Nothobranchius furzeri: one gene and its partners. The protein of the gene in region 1 purifies or fractionates together with the protein of each later gene. This does not show direct contact. Links are inferred from orthologs where the notes say so. Each region holds a gene or a part of one and is shown on either strand. Other genes may lie near its edges.

Region 1 (5,067 bases):
CAGCTGAGGAATCCTGTGGTTTAAAGTTTTTTACACATGTATATTTTTTTCTCTTCAGAGCCCCACGCTGCTGGACTATGGGGAGGTGCTGCTCTCTCTGCTCCCCATGGAGAGGAGATCCACTCACCTGTTCAGCTACATCTGTGAGCTGTCGCTGCTCTACTCCGCTCTAGCCTCTCCTCCCCCTGCCAAACTGGCCTGTGCCACACTACTCCTCACACGAGCGCTGCATCACTATGGTAATAACGCCCACTGAGACACAGCTGTCGCAAAACCAACTATTTACAGGTTGAGTTTTGAGTAGAGTTTATGCTCATATTGATTTGTGCCTGCAGGTCCCGTCTGGCCCTCCCTGTTGTGTGATCACACCGGCTTTACCAAACAGGACCTCATTCCTCTCTCTGTGCTGCTTTATGTCAAGTGGTAAGTGTGTGTGTGTGTGTGTGTGTGTGTGTACTGACTGACAGGAAGTGACTGTGCTCTCATCAGAGGTTGCCTTTAATCATTAACCACAGCAGCTATATAATAACCAGATGACTCTGCCGCCACAGAATAAAGCGGAGTTTCCTCGTGTCGGAGTGGCTACGGGAGCCTTCTTCCATCCAGAAAAGCAGAAATTCATAAACTCTGAGTTTGTAGGCAGAGATAAAGTCACATGTTTCAGGATTTATATGTTAATGCTGCAGCTTTACGGCTGATGTAAAGAGGTTTCAGGTGGTTTTAATTTAAACATGACATACTGATTTCATTAAATCCCATTGTAATTTGTGATTGGGCTGTTAACAGCCAATACTAATCAGATAACTGAGTCTCATCTCCGCAATAGTCTTTGTAAAAAAATAAAAATAAAAACATCAACAACACACCTTTTGAAACTGAATTAGCACCGATTCTGAATTTGTGGACCGATACCGGTTTGTAATTCTTGTACAGCTGATTCAGATTTAGGCTGGTTCTGATTTAACTCTGAGAAGAAGAAGTGTTTATTCCCAAATGAAGTCAGGAAGTAAAAACATTCACAGGGAGGATCTGTAACTTGGGAGTACTGGTGAGTTCACAGACCAGGAATAACGGTTTTTTTTAATTGCATAAAACCAAACAACAACAAACAAACCGTTTTTATGATTCAGTCGATCTTGAAGCCAGGTTTTTGGAGCATCTCTTTTCTTGCTCACTAACTATTGTTTCTGTCATTTCTGTGTCTCTCTTGTTTTCTTTTTTCATTCCATCTTAACCATAGTTTTTATTTTATCTTGAATCTTTCTTTATTTTTTATAGAGCTTGTGATTTTGAACTTGAAAGGTGTTATATATAAAACTTCCTTCTGTTTAAATCAAACGCACATCTGAATGAATCAAATATTCATGTTTTCCTTTTTTTTATTTCAGTCACATTTCATAAACCAGAGTTTAGTTCAAATACTCCACTAGTGGAAATAATAATAATAGAAAAACCAATAAATGCAGTTTGGATGACCTGTAGATATGACATCACCTCTATTGATTGTTTTGTTTCTCCACATTTGTATTGATCACCGATTGGGTAATAAAAATATATTTTCCATCCACAAAACTACAAATAAGATCTGAGAAAACACTCTGCTCCGTGTTGTGTTTTATGACTGCACTGTGACTCACACACACACGCACACACAAGTACCTTCTCACTGCTCTTTTCTCTGTAAAACCGATGAGAGCTATTGATCGGGCATGTGCCGGGCTGTTTTCAGCATGCACGTATTGATTAAGAAAAAGATGCTGAGAACGTCCGGTTACTAAAAAGAAAGGTCGTTAGGGATTTAAAGGTGGCATAAAACACAGATCATAAGAACAGTAGGAGGCACCACTCGATGTGAGTCACACAAACGTGAGTCACTTTGACGGACGAGCAATATGTCGGCAAACTAATTCTCAAATTGACAAGTAGCAAGATTTGTCGTGGAGACTTGATTATATCTGTGCAGCAAGCAAAGTGGATCAAACTCAATTTTTAAAAAAAAATTTATTTATTTTTTTTCCCCCACTTCTCCATTCTACCTCAGTTTCAGTGAAGATGTTCCCAAAGATCACAGACACGTGTCTCTGGCTGGTGTTGTGCAGCGATTTGAAGACGAGGCCTACCAGCAAATCAGCAAAGAAAAGGTAAAAGGATCAAACATTCCTCATTCTTTTTCTGCCTGTCTATATTGTTCTCAAATCCAAACGCTCATTGATTTTTTATTTTTTTATCTCTTTAAGGTGATGGATTTTAAAGAGCTCTGTCAGATCTTGGAGATTCCTGAAATTGAGCCTCAGATGGAACCTCCCAGTCCCACCAGTGGTCAACCAGCAGACATTCACACCTTCCTGGCTTCCCCGTCAAGCACCAGTAAGAGGTAGGTCAGCCGCCGACACACAGGCGACCTCGTGTTGGTGCTGGAGGATGTGGGACGGAGGAAAAGGTTTGTTACGAGACCAGACTCGCCAACAGGCCAGTGACGGCTGCCCCTGCCAGGTTTCTTGCTCATTTAGCGGTCCTGGTTGTCTCCTGAGCACCACCAGTGACTCGTGAACCGACTTGTCCAGAAGGCGTTTTTCTTTGTGCCGTCTGCCAGAAGCTCCTGTGACTCGCTGTAACCCTCCACTTGTCCACGTTCTCCCTGCAGGAGACGAGATGACAGCGTTCAGGACCACAGGGACAGTTTGGTGGCCACGCCCACAGCAGAGCTGTCCAATCAGGAGGAGACGCTGTTGGGAGACATCCTGGACTGGAGTCTGGACTCTTCCAGCTCTGGTTATGAGGGTGATCAAGAGGAAGAAAGCGATGGAGAGAAAGATGTGGATTGTGAGTGACAAGAACGAGGCTGAGAGTGTTTATTCCAACGGGATTATTAAAAGTCTTCCAGGCAATGAATATAAATGTTCTAATCTCCATGTAAAGTAGTAGAATAATGCATGAGCTACTCTCTGACTCGGCAGTTTTATTGTCCATCTTTATAAATGAAGACTAAATGTAGAGAAATAAAATTTGCTGTGCATTGTTTTTATGTATCTCATTTTTAATGTCTCTTCAACAGCTTCCATGATATCCATCAAACTGCACTCACTGGCTGGTGCTGATGATGGACGCGAACACTGCCGAGCTCTGTCCAGTGATGAAGACAGCTTCTGTGAAGTAGAAGTGAGCAAGGGTCACCAAGGTGAAGAAGCCCTCTCCGTGTCTGCAGACCCTCATAGTTCAGGGTACTCATCCGTCCAGAGCGTTAGCCCCTCGTCCACATGCTCCTCCTCCTCCTTCATGCATTTTGCATTTAGGACCTTTACCACCTCTCTGGGCGTGGCCTCCACTAACGCCCAGCCAGGTTTCCGCCTGTTGGTGCCCATGCAGAGGCCCAAAGGCACCTTCGCCAAACAAGTGAAGAGGAAGAACATTGCAGCTCATAGTGGAGGTGAAGTGGAACGAGACGATGATGACGACTTGGAAAGGGAAGGGTTTTCTGCCCGTGCTGGGTTTCTAAGCCTGTAGGAGGCGATATTTTTACGACTCACTCCGTTTCAAACCCGTCTTCACCAGCTGTCTCTCACTTAGTTCGTCAACCGCCAGAAGATCAATAGACTGGCTTTAAAGACTTGAAAGGGAAAACAAACACAATTAGGGATTGCTTGGAAACTCGTCGTTCTACCACATTTCATTTCCATGATTACAGGCGCGGAGCGGTTGGAAATCGCTCCCGTGAACTCGCCGTCATCTCTGAAACCCCCTGGAATATGACTTGATTGTTGCTCGGGAGCCTGGTGCTTTTCAGCCTGCTACAACAGCCTAGCTGAGATCACATTACTTAGCTGTAAAAGAAATAAAAACCACCGATTTACTGTTTCAGGTGGGAAAGAAAGTGTTGTTAGGGAAAAAAAAAAGCTGTTATAGTTTTTGTGACTATTAATATCGTCAAAGCCTTTGATATGCACTGTCTGTACAGGACAACCTTGTATTTGGTGAATTTCATCATAAGGCTACTACTGTGATCTAGTTGGTGAAAGTTTGCATCTGAAGAGGAGGCCCTCTTGCTTTTGTTTTGTCTTACATGTTTGCCAAAGGTGCAGAGGTGTCATTGGTCTTTCCCGTGGCCTCTGTCCAATCACACACAGCTGTGAAATGCATCACTTTGAGTCGGCAGCAGTCCCAACCGCACCACTCTGCTGTTGGTGACCTGTGGCACGTTAAACCCAACAAGAGCCACACACAGGTGTGTGTGTGTGTGTGTTCACTAATCAAGAAGCTGCAACATAAAACTCCAACAGACTGATGTGGTTTTAATTTTCCTCCAGAATCAAGTCGGGCACTTTTTTCATCACGGGTGTGCAATTCAGATGAAATGTAACATGCTTCTGAACGTTGGGCACGGAGGGACTTTTAATGAATTTGTCTTTTTTCTGCCTTGGACACCATCACAGTTCACACACTAGAGGGAAAAGATGACCCAACGGGCTTGTACGTGTACTGTATGCCCCATTGAGGACACAAAATAGTAAATAATGTTTACATGACTGTGACTGACTGTAAATACATTCTTGTAAACTGTTACTTCTGTCTGGTTGTTTTTGTTTCATGTACATAGTGCTTTATGAATGAATGAGAAGAAGTCAAACCAACATGCCACTACAACTTGAAATTGTGTTTGCTTCATCCCAAAAGGGCAGTTTTTAGCTTTTAGGTTGTTTTTTTTTTACACTGCAGTGTTTATTTGGGTGTGAATGTGTATTTGTATGTTTATTTTGTACGAAGTTCAAATAAACAAAAACAATTCCTGTCTTTGTGTCTTGTTTTTGAACAGTGTTTTTCTTGTTTTGCTTTTAAAATATTAAAGGTCATCTGAATGAGTGCAAAAGACAGGTTTTAAATGACTTCACTTACTGCGCGAGGAAAGCTATCCAACCCAACCCGGTTCAGTGAAAAATGTCCCTAACCTTCATATCTGGTTGTAACTATATTGTAATTGCAAAATTACTTTTGTGATGACTGGTACTAAGTCTTACTACTCTATGAAGGAACTGTAGCCCCAGTCATTCCAGGATGTTAAAGCCTGAAATA
Region 2 (5,678 bases), about 2.2 Mb from region 1:
ATACAGTCCATTTAGTTGTTTCATTTTTAGAACACAATAAGCCTCGCATCAAAGCACTGAGCCTAAAGCCTGATTTATGCTTCTCCGTCTGCGTCAGTGCGGAGACACGCAACGCCATTATCCGTCCTTGCGTAGGGCTCCGGCAGGCACGCAAGTACGTACGGAGTCGAGCCCACTTTTTTAAACATCCGTCGAACGAGACGGATTACGCAAGCTTGTGATTGGTCAGGACGCCGCTGTTGTTTACAGCACCACCATTGCAAAGAGAGCCGAGGATAACTAGCGGCAGACACGGAGAAGCTTGAAGAATACCTCACGAAAAAACTCTAAAAATATGAACGTTTAATCCTCCCGTGACTGGAGGAGTGAAACGATGCGCAGCAAGCGTTTTATTTGTGGACGGAAATGACAGGAAACGTGGGTTTAGAGGTGGTGAGTGCATGAAGTGGTGGGAGAATGAGAGACAAATATGTCCGTGTTAAAAGTCTCTTATATACACAAAAAACACAATATAAACACACTATCTTGGACTGGATACATGACAGGATACCACAGAACAGCGCTGCACCTTCTGTGGTCCTGCCGGGCAATTGCTTTGCAACACTCTCCAGGAGACGGAGAAGTATGAGAGCAAAACGCTTCCGTCAATCCGTGCGTGTCTGTCCCTTGCGGAGCTGACGGAGAAGCATAAACCAGGCTTAACACAACATGGCGCAGCAAACTGAGCTGAGACCAGCAACAGGAGTGTCAGTCAGCCATGACACTCCTGCTTGCATCTGACTCCTCATTCATCTTGTAAAATTTGGTCAAAAATGTTGTCAATTTTAGTCAAAAGACAAAATTTAAATTAAAACTTCTGGTCAAAATTAACACTATTAAGGAGTAGAAAACATCCTCAGTAAAATATTCTGGGCAACAGTGAAGTCTGTTCTAAAGTAAAAGCAAATTAAATGCCGTTTTTGAACATTGGATGAACAAAGGCTTCCAAACCATCTGGACATCTCCTGTGACTTATTATCAACAAATTTCCCTCAAATGTTTTAGCTATTGCCTCACTGAGTAATGAACGGAGTATTGAAGGCCTACACAGCCATCAGACCCACGGATTAGATGATCCAGAGGCTCAGAAACAGGATAAACCTCCAACCTTATTTTAACGTAAAAAAGGCAGCACAGCACCATTTTACCTGCAGTTATTCACTAGTGGATCAAAACTTAACTTTCATTAGCAAAATAACCTATAAAAATGATTCAATGAATCAAAGAAAGCAGGAAGAAATATTACTTCTGTTTGTACATTTTTACTTCAGTTCAAACTATTTAGAATTCTGTGTTTACATCACATTTAGCTTGTATTTTATTTAAAATATCTTCAGCATTATTCATTTTAGGGGATTTTTTTTTGGTGTTGCCTAATTTGGGAAAATATTCACAGCATAATTATTTGAAAAGATTTTAGTTTTTAGGAAGTATGATCATTTATGACAAAACTGCTTACACTATGAAAAACTGACATTACTGCCAAGGCTCCTGGCAGGACACAGGGCCCGGGAGTCAACAGGAGCAGTTTAGGTGTTCCCGTGTGCTCAGAAAGGTTACTGATCCATTCAAAAAGCAATGAAAGGTCAAATCATTCACACGAAGTACATTTGTTGTTAATTATCTGAAAATATCTGATTAATAAAAAAATGTTTTTTTTTTGTTTTAAAACAGGAATGTCACAATTTTCCTTTGACTTTTGTTACAATATGGATGTATTTAAATACAGAGAAAACAGCTTGTGAATACAATGCATGTTAATATAGTAAGTATAGCATTTTTAAAATAAGCATATTCACACATGGAAAGTATCAATGTGAATAATTGTATGGCGGTAGCTCTTCGGTACTTTCATTGTGTAAAAGTAGCTCCAAAAGGTTAGAGACCCCGGCCTTAGATAGAAAACTTTTTTTATTAGTTGGCCCATTTTATGTGAATCACTTTGTGATGAGTGCTACATAAATAAAATTGACTTGCTTGACATAATAAACTGAACTTGAACGTTTACTCTGTGAAGTGCTCTGAGACGACCCTTGATGTGATTTGGTGATATTAATAAACTGAATTGAAATTTTACAGCCCTTCCACCAAATATCAGATGATTGGTTGTTTCATACAAACAGCCTGAGGTTTCAGCAGTATCACAAAAAGTCACGTGTACACAGCGTCAGCTGTTGTAGGTCTGTAGAAAAACACTAAACTAGTGTTTTAGTGAAGTTCTGTGAGATTTTCAAACCAGTTGTGACGTTACAGGTGTGATGTAAGATGGTAAAATTATGGAAAATGGAAAAAAAAGGAGGAATTAGATTCAGCATTCCTGGGACAAGCTGAAAACTACACTGGTACTTTTAAGGAGGGGAGTGGAAAACATCTGCCAGAGCCCCAGCTGGATTACAGCGAGAAAACTAAAGACTCCAACAAAAAGTGAGAGCAAAACCTTGAAAAAACTAAAGTTTTAGATGAAGGAGCTTTTCCTTACCGTACAACATTGGGATGTTTGAGTTCCTGTAGTAGAGACACCTCTCTGACAGCAGTGCTGGGAACACCCTCCTCCTCACTCTCGAGACGGATCTTCTTCATAGCCACAATCTGCCCTGTGGCCTTGTGCCTGCCCTTATACACGACCCCATAGGTGCCTGCACGCAACCGTTCAGCAGAAGAAATAATCATACATGTGGACACAACCCTCCTGTGCACACATCATACCGGGCCATTCATGTTTCACAAATCAGAAACGCAAAGATACATATCACACAAAGTACAATATGTCCAGGAACTGATTTAAACTCATACTTTGTGAGAACTTTTTTTTTAATCACAACGATGCAAAAAAAATCTGGAACGTTTTTGAAGTAGACCCACCTTCTCCAATTTTCTCTATTTTGACATAATCGTCCATCTTTGCCTAAAGGAAAAAAGAGAAGACGTGTTTTATTGTTATTTCAGCTCCAGCCGACCTATTATACTTCCTGGTAAATATTTTCCTGACACTATCGGAGCTAAAGGTAGCTGGACTCCTCATCCTTGTGTGTAACAATTAAATCAAGAGACTGACTTCGGTGGTTTACGGCTAACTAGACTAGCTTTTAAAACGGCTTCCTCTGCTTTATCCACCAACGTCAGCCTACCTACCACTAAAAGGTAAAAGGTGAAGCAGCACTACTTTTTAACCGCCGTCACACTTCCTAGCCAGAACACGTTTGTTCAATCTGAAGATGGATAAATGCTGTTTGGTAAGAAAAATATCCAACCTTACTTTGTGTCGTTTCTGATTCGGGTTGCTCACGAGCTGACTGCAGTTGACTAACTCTTTTGAATAGACCGCAGTGCAGTGGCAGTTCAAAATGCACCAATAAGATACGCTGATACTATTCAAACACACCAATCAGAAATAAAGACATTTCGTTGTGGGTTGAGCGGGAGACAAGGCGCCTACGTAGCAACTACACGTTTAAACGTTTAGATGCGTTTACGGGTAGTAGGATATTACAAATACGTGTAAAATTCTAAACACTAGCATGGTAGTTGATGTCATTATCATCTTGGATGAACCGTGTTTAATGTTGATGTTTGTCAACCAAGCAATAAGCTTCGGATGTTCTATTCCTCTGGCCTTATCTTCTTCTAAGTAGACAAAATGAAAGAAATAACGGCTGTGTTTTGTTTGGCACCTGTTTATACTGATTGGTTGGTTCCAACTCTTGAGTTTTGAGCAGGTTTTGAGGGATAAAAAATTTTAAAAAAGGAGAGAGGGAGAAACATATACTATTTAAAAATAGTTAGATACCTGCTATGGGTTTTTGAATTTGTAGTATGATCCTGCTTTATAGTTTACATGGGTCTGTTCCAATTTTGATAACTCAGTGTTAGGTTTTGGCTTGTGAGTTCAAGTTTTGCACATTTCTCAACTTTTCACATAACTTAATACAACTACTGTTCAAGTAGTTTTGTTCTTCTGTGGTCTAGATGTCTGATTTCCGTTTGTCGTGTTTTTCTCTACATGTACGGGGTGTTCGAGATTTAACCAAAAGAAAAGCTTTATTTTTTATTTTGTATGCAGCAAAATAAGGATGTCTATTTTTTTACAGGAGACTCATCCCTCTTCAAAAGATGTTACATTTTGGCATAATCAATGGGTGGGGGGAGGCTATTTTTTTCTCATGGTACTAATTTTTCAGGGGGTGTTTTAATTTTATTTCATCCTAAATTTAATGGTGAAGTTATAGACACCGAGGTTTCAGAAGACGGCAGATGGATTCTGTTGGTCATTAGATGTGGAGATAATTTTTTTATTTTAGTAAATGTTTATGGCTTTAAATCTAGGGTTTCTAACACCACGCTCCTCAACTCTTTATCTGATAAAAATCCTCATGGAATTGAACAAATTTCCTTCAGCATTTGTGGTTGTTGGCGGTGATTTTAACGAAGCTCCAAATTTATTTTCAGATAGATTTCCTGCAAAAGGTAGTCCAGATAATTTTAACCCTGTTATTTATGATTTCTGTGGTAAACTTTCCTTACTAGATGCCCTGAGAATTTTACACCTTTTGGAAAATAACCTCTTTACTTGGTTTAAAACAGACTTATCTCAAAAATCGCGTATAGATTTGTGGCTAATCTCTGATAATTTAGCTCCCTGGGTTCGAAGCTGTAATATTGCTATTGCTCCCTTAACTGATCATGCTGGGATAGATATATTTTTATCAAATTTAAGATCCACTAATTGTAGCAAACCTGGATATTGGAAATTAAACTATTCCTTGCTACAATAAAATGATTACTGCTTGGGCATTGAAAAAATTGCTACTAAATTCAATTCAATGTCTGAAATTACACCTACCATAAAATGGGAGCTTTTCAAATTTGAATGTCAGCGCTTCTCAATGCGCTTTGGAAAGCAACAAATAAGAGAGCAGAATAAAGCTTATACTGATTGTTTAAAAGAGTTTAATGAAATTTTAAGTATACATGTGTGCGTTTGCACTCATTAAGGGGAAAATTAGACCTTTATTTCCAGAAAAAGGCAAGGGGAGCTTTTAAAAGGTCTCGGGCTAGATGGTTGGAACACGGAGAAAAAAACTCATCCTTCTTTTTAATCTGGAAAAAAAACGTGGAAAGGCAAAAAACATCTACTTTATATATTAATAACAATCTCTCAAAAGATGAAAATGAAATTTCTTCCTTTATCTCTAACTTTTATCAGAAGCTGGGTCCCGGGTCGCTGGGTCCCGGGCTCGGCCGGCTGGTGGGTAGGAGGCTGCGGGTGGGCCTGTGGGCTTGCCACTGATATCCGCTGGGACTCTGCCGGCTGCTGGTTGTGGCCCCCTGGGGCAATCCATTGTGCCTCTCAAAGGGGGCAGGGGCTTTTCTGGTCGCAGTCTCCCTGGGGTCCCTGTGCTCTGGGGCAGCTCCTGGCTCTCTGGGACTTTGAGCTTCCTCCATCTCTTACACATCTTTGCGGGGTAGATCTGTGGCCCCTCACACTCTCTATTGGACACTCCTATCGAGAAACCTCATATACAAGCTCGTGTACACACAGGTGCTCACATGGTGCGCTCATAAGTATGGACTTAGGCACATTCAACAAATGTCTTAAGGCTGTGGTTAACACTAAATGCACTGTGATTTATTATCGTGTG
Region 3 (5,918 bases), on another chromosome or scaffold:
CACAGGTTGGAACGCCTTAGGATCCCCCCCGGAGGAGCTGGCCCAGGTGACTGGGGAGAGGGAATTCTGGGCCTCTTGGTTTATGCTGCTGCCCCCAGGACCCGACTCCGGATGAACGGAAAAACTGGATGGAGTTTACAGAGATCAAGTAAAAAAAAAAAAACGAAAGAAAAACACCGTGTACATAAAAAATAACAGGTAACAGAGGCAGAATTTAATAGTAAAATGCAACTTAAACCTAAATAATGTGCATTGATTTTATTTATGATTGATAATAAAATGATCAACAGGGTATTCCTTTCAACATTTGCTTTTTTGATTCAGTTCACATCTTTATGTATAAAAATTATAAAGATTATTTTTATTGGCATATTTTTAATAAGTTAATTGGAGATACTGTATTTTTGCCTCACAGGTTCAACCTAGAATCGTCTCAATTCAGCAAACCTCAGAATACAGCAGACCTTTTCTACTCATCGATTTTACAGAACCTGGTTTTGCTTTTATCTGCTTGTTGTAAATTATCAGATAAAAATGAAAAACTAACTTTAAACATTTTTCATACAGTAGTCATTATAATTCTTTTAAAGGTATGCATCCCAAACCGCTTTGGAAAACAGATCCTGCATAGATTTCATATGGTGTTCCACCTGGGAATGTTCGGGGTGTGAAACTCTGATTTGAGACCAACTTCTGGTAAATATTACCTGTTGGTGTGGAACAGAAAACATAAATTAACAATAAACTCTACATCAGCAGGGCCCAAAACATCATCAAAGGCCCCTCCCACCCCAGTCACTACAGCTTTTTAATTCAGCAGGTGCTACAAAGCCACAAGAGCGAAAACCAGCTGACTGAGGGTCAGCTTCTTCCCCACAGCTGTCGGGACAATAAATAGAAGAAACAAACTCTTGAACTGGTGCGATAAATCCAATGTAACTTGAAAAACATTACTACTGTTGTTTGTAGGTCACTGCATTCAGTAAGGATTTATTTGTGTATATATTTCATATCTATCTTTCTTTTTTTTTCTTAAAACTTGTTTGTTTTATCTGGGAGTTGATTTTTCCAAGTCATATTTTCCACCATGTCATTCATACATTTCATAAATGTCCCATTTCTCAACTAAATATGTAGTTAAAAAGCTAACTGTTTTAAATTATTTTAAAAACTAAATATTTAGTAGGATAAACATTTTGTTTATTTTTCATTCATCATTCATTCGTTTTCTTTATTCTCATAATTCTGACTTTTTAACTTCTGAAAAAAAAAGTGAAATTCACTTTCACCTTCTTTTTTCTTTAACTTTTCAGGGGCGCCAATCCTTTTTTGTATATGTCTGACCTAAATATCTATTTTTTAGCTTAATATTTAGTTAGTAAATTAAATATTTAGTTTGGAGCTAAATATTTAGTTAGTAAATTATTTAAAATACCTGACCTAAATATTTATTTTGAGAAATACATATTTAAGTATGACCTAAATACTTAGCTTGGTGCTAAATATAATTTTAGTAAATTAAACATTTACTTAGAAAATAAATACTTATGTCTGATCTAAATATTTAGTTTCCAAATGAAAAATTTGTAAAATAAATGTTTACCTCATTTTAAATATTTAGCTTGTTAGCTGAAAACTAAGCCTTTTAAAAATGTATGAATGACATGACTTTTTAAAATTAACTCTCAGTTGCTCCCTTTTATGACAGTCGACATAATCCAAGTACTGCTGTTACATTGCGACAGTTTGGCACCCCATAGAACATTAATCTGTACACCTAAAGCTAACTCACCTGTTATCCAGCTCTCCTTTATGCCCGGGCTCTTCTGCATCACCAACAATCACATCACTGGTTACTTCTGAAGGGACCAAAAATACTGATTATTATGGGATGTAACAGTAGTGAAGCCTATTATAAAAGAACAAACCAGAAACTATTTCAACAAGTAAAACAAAAACATTTTAAGAGGAAATTTAAGGTACATATAATATGTTTACCACAATAACATCAATGAGGTAACCCTTACTTAGACACATGATGGAGTCCAGACGTTCTACTTCTCCACAGACGCTAAAGGAGTCTCCCAGGACAGTGTTGCACTGCTGACAGTGAAAAGTCAGCGCTTGTCTGTCATCTGCATCCGTGGTAATGACCATATTGTTGAGTCGTTTATTTAAGACGCTGTCGTCAAATTCCATGTCACCCAGAGAACCAGAACCACCAACGGACGATTTTAAGTTTTGTTCTTCTAATTTCCGCGCGCTGAAGTTAGCTTGGCACATTACTGCCACCGCGGTGTGGGTTTAGACACAACACCAAGACACATATACGCAAGAAAATGAGAAACATTAACACAACAAAGCTGTAATTTTAAACTTTTAACAATATGCTAAAATAATAACTATTAATCACCAGTTTAACAAAAAAAAAGGATAGATTTAAGTAGAGGCGTTTGACCATCTTGGTTTTGATTGGCTATGGGGCACATCTGGTTAAAAATAAGAGCCAATCAAATCGCTCTCACGGTCTTGTTTTGAATAGGAAGGAGTTTTAACCGTCGGGGCGCGAATGAGAAGCAGAAGAAGAAAGAAAACGGAGACATCGTGATTTTATAAAGCATAGTAAACCACCGTAGTAACATGGATTTGGACTCCATGAAATATGCGGATTTGCGAAGTCTTGCGAAGGAGCTTGGGCTGAAAGCAAACGGGAAGGTAAGGAAGTTACTTTTACGTGTCTTTAGCGTAACGGTAGAGGACTGTTAGCTAACATCGGCTAAATCAATCACGTTTTATTTACTCATACGCAGGCTGATAAACTCCTGAAAGCTATAAAAGAGCATTACCACGAAGAGAAGAACGCAGACGTGCAGGTAGGTAACTGCTGCTGCAGTATTATTTTAAAAGTATTGTTTTAATGTAAATTGAATGTCTGCGTATCGTTGTGTTTCTGCCCCAGGGTCGATGCAGTGTTGGTGTCCCTGAACACAAAAGTGTAGCAGAAGACAGCGCTGTCCCTGTCTTTGTAAACACACGTCGGGGTAAAGGAAACCGCTCCAAGAGAAGGCTTTCTGACACTTCCAGTGTGTGTGGTGCTAAGACTCCCAGTGCTGCAGAGGTCTGACGTCATTAAAAAGGCCACTGGTTGTGTTTAACAGCACGTAACCGTCTGTAACCCTACCAGGTGTAAGACTGTTTGTCTTTTCAGGGTGGTGACAAGCCAAGTGTCTGCAGCACCCCCACTTCACAGGGTAGCAAGAAAAGAAAGCTGTCCTGTCATGGAGAACCTCAAACTACTGAGACTGACCAGCAGCACCCTGATACTAAAGAGGAGAAAACGGCTCAATCAACAGGTTTGAGAGCTTCTTCAAACCTGCGACTAGATTTATTTTTGCTTTGAGAAGCAGTTTGACTCATAAAATCATATTTGTTCAGGAAAAGTACCAAAAGTGGTGAAACCTGGCAAAATTCCCCGCTACAGAGGCTCCCAGCAGATGAACAAGACTCTGTTGAAGCCCACCACACCTAGTGAGTTTGCTTTATTTCCTTTCTCCAGACTTGCGTAAACACGGTCAGCATATTTAATCCTTGAATTTGTTTTACTGTTTGTCAATTTTATCTCTAAATTAGATTTTAAGAAAATCCATGAGGCGCAGTTCAACAAAATGGAGTCCATTGACACCTATGTTCAGCGCAAAACAAAGCAGATGGAGACCACCAGATCTTCAGCCAAAGATCTGAAGGTATTAAGTCTTCCTAACATCAGAACAAATGTTTAAGTTGGTCTTTCTACATTGTTTTCCATCCTAATCTGAAGTCAAAGCTGGACACGTTTCAGAGCTTATGTGTGGGTTTGTGTTTGACAGAACACGACTCGTGCCTCCATGTTCAGCCCAGCCCAGCTCAATAAGAGACCAGCTGCAGAAAAGCCCAGACACACTTTGCTGCCAGTCAGTAAAGCTCTTCAAAACAAACGTGCTGGGAAAGACGACCTTCCATTCAGACCGTCTGTTATTTCTACGCGTAGGATCAATGTTCGGTGCGTCTTCTGTCGATCATTGCTACAGTCATTGTTATAGCAAACACAGATAAGTGTGTTTCATGTGACGCTCTACCAACTTGTTCAGATTCTCAGAAGCTACATGTGACAACGAGTTTAAGAGGTCTTTGGTGAAGACCCCGGCACGCATGTCGCTCCAGAGACCTTCCAGCACCCCTCAAAGCCAGACCACCAAAGCAAAGAAGCCACATGTTGTCATTACGTCTACTTTGTCTCCCCAAAAAACTTCAGGTACTCATCGCCACCATTTGGGATAATTTAAATTTGATGTGTTAACTAGAGGCCTTACCGACATGTTTTTTTTTTTAGGCCGATAGATTTACAAAGAATTTTGATGCCGATGGCTGATATCTAAAACCGATTATTAAGGTTTATATATGTGATTTGGCAGCATATTGCTTGTGAAAGACAACCTAACGCTCACTGTGTGCAATATAAATTAAATAAGTCAATAAATCTCTTAATATTTATTGAACTTCAAATATTAAACAAACTCAAAACATTTTTATTTTTTTTAAAGCAGTGTGTTGGGGGTCGTTCGGGTTCTCTCTTCAGTCTAGTAGTAGCGGCGGTAGGCCACACAGGTGCCTGATTTTAAAAAATGTTTTTATTGGCTTTTAAAAATAATTTCGGCCGATATAGAAAAAATTTTATATATCTGTCAGCCTCTAGTGCGAACATGCAAAATAAATCTAACCAATCTGGTTTGTCTCCATTAAAGAACTGTTTGTTTTTACTGGTGACGTCTCAACCACACCCGGAACACAAAAGAAGCCGACCTTTGATCTGAAGGCCAGTCTGTCGCGTCCGCTCAACTACAAACCCCACAAAGGTGCGGAACTGTCCTCAAAGACCGTAAGTTGTGTTGTTCTGAGACACTGATGCTTCCTTCCTTTTTTGCAGGCAAACTGAAGCCATTTGGAGATGCTAAAGAAAATGCATCTGCAAACAAATCTCTGATCTCCAATTCGCGTCAGGAAAGTTACAAACAACACAAGGTGCAGTCCAGGTGAGCCTGAGAGAAATTCTCATCACAACAATCTGCCTGTAAAGCGCCTCCTGAGGCTGATCCGTGTCGTGTTTACAGGGACGACCGGAGGGCAATACTAGCAGAGGACCGGAAGCAGAAGAAAACAAAACTGCTCGGAGCGAGGAGAGGCCTGGTCATGGAATAGAAACGCTTTTGCATTTTTCTCAAGCTTCCTGTTCTCATGTAAATAATTTAGACATCCGTGCTCTCCTGAGCCAGTTGTAAGAACATGGATTCAGTCTGCTTTACTCAGCTTGTAGATTTGTTTGTTTATAATAATCATTTTTATCCTTTTGTAGTAAAAACTTTTACTTATTGTTTTCCATTTTGAGATGAATATTTGGATTAAAATGGTGACCTAAAAGATTTGTTGTGCTTTAATAAAATGTCTCTTGAATGCTTTTATTATTGCTTTTACAATAAAACAACAAAAAACTCTCACATGGAAATCACTTTGCTGTTTTACTGAGAGAAGTCATTTAAACTAAACGGGAAAATTAAGAAGCAGCAAGAGTGTCTGTTTAACTTGTAAAAGATCAACAGCAACAACCGTTTGATCCCCTTAACCGATTTGTGTTTTAAAATTGACCAGAAATGCAAAAAAAAAAAAAAGTGAAGACGAGGAATTTCCACACATCTGTATTTAATTGGCTGCTTAACGGTTTAAACGCTGCGTTGTGGTGGCCCCTAAGCTGTTGGGTTCCTCTTGTACATCTCGTAAGCGAAGTCCTCTGTGTGAGCGTAATCTTTGCAGACGCCAATAAAATCAATCTCAAGCTGAAAAGGGCCGTCTGCTTTGTCTCCCAGGGTGAACCCGATGGTATTAAT

The links. Proteins that work in one complex are often made in the same cells at the same time.
Region 2: the proteins of ccnf (region 1) and cdk1 purify together in Homo sapiens (affinity purification with mass spectrometry; 3 studies listed by BioGRID, with this or other methods). This does not show direct contact. The link is inferred for Nothobranchius furzeri from reciprocal best matches to the Homo sapiens genes CCNF and CDK1.
Region 3: the proteins of ccnf (region 1) and nusap1 purify together in Homo sapiens (affinity purification with mass spectrometry; 3 studies listed by BioGRID, with this or other methods). This does not show direct contact. The link is inferred for Nothobranchius furzeri from reciprocal best matches to the Homo sapiens genes CCNF and NUSAP1.

What each region holds. Positions count from the first base shown.
Region 1 is NC_091752.1:57,977,030-57,982,096, forward strand, and holds the end of ccnf (cyclin-F), read left to right. Parts: intron 1-58; coding exon 59-239; intron 240-335; coding exon 336-423; intron 424-2,041; coding exon 2,042-2,141; intron 2,142-2,237; coding exon 2,238-2,374; intron 2,375-2,644; coding exon 2,645-2,823; intron 2,824-3,055; coding exon 3,056-3,504; 3' UTR 3,505-3,687; downstream 3,688-5,067. UniProt on the Homo sapiens protein: Substrate recognition component of a SCF (SKP1-CUL1-F-box protein) E3 ubiquitin-protein ligase complex which mediates the ubiquitination and subsequent proteasomal degradation of target proteins.
Region 2 is NC_091752.1:60,127,308-60,132,985, reverse strand, and holds the start of cdk1 (cyclin-dependent kinase 1), read right to left. Parts: upstream 3,392-5,678; 5' UTR 3,296-3,391; exon of another isoform or gene 3,291-3,295; intron 3,236-3,290; exon of another isoform or gene 3,172-3,235; intron 2,945-3,171; 5' UTR 2,939-2,944; coding exon 2,902-2,938; intron 2,676-2,901; coding exon 2,519-2,675; intron 1-2,518. UniProt on the Homo sapiens protein: Plays a key role in the control of the eukaryotic cell cycle by modulating the centrosome cycle as well as mitotic onset; promotes G2-M transition via association with multiple interphase cyclins.
Region 3 is NC_091758.1:19,032,473-19,038,390, reverse strand, and holds nusap1 (nucleolar and spindle-associated protein 1), read left to right. Parts: upstream 1-2,527; 5' UTR 2,528-2,640; coding exon 2,641-2,715; intron 2,716-2,810; coding exon 2,811-2,873; intron 2,874-2,959; coding exon 2,960-3,118; intron 3,119-3,208; coding exon 3,209-3,353; intron 3,354-3,435; coding exon 3,436-3,528; intron 3,529-3,630; coding exon 3,631-3,743; intron 3,744-3,866; coding exon 3,867-4,039; intron 4,040-4,127; coding exon 4,128-4,291; intron 4,292-4,781; coding exon 4,782-4,892; intron 4,893-4,963; coding exon 4,964-5,069; intron 5,070-5,147; coding exon 5,148-5,235; 3' UTR 5,236-5,457; downstream 5,458-5,918. Other genes in the region: oip5 (protein Mis18-beta), read right to left, coding at 1,793-1,859, 2,028-2,283; ndufaf1 (complex I intermediate-associated protein 30, mitochondrial), read right to left, coding at 5,778-5,918. UniProt on the Homo sapiens protein: Microtubule-associated protein with the capacity to bundle and stabilize microtubules. May associate with chromosomes and promote the organization of mitotic spindle microtubules around them.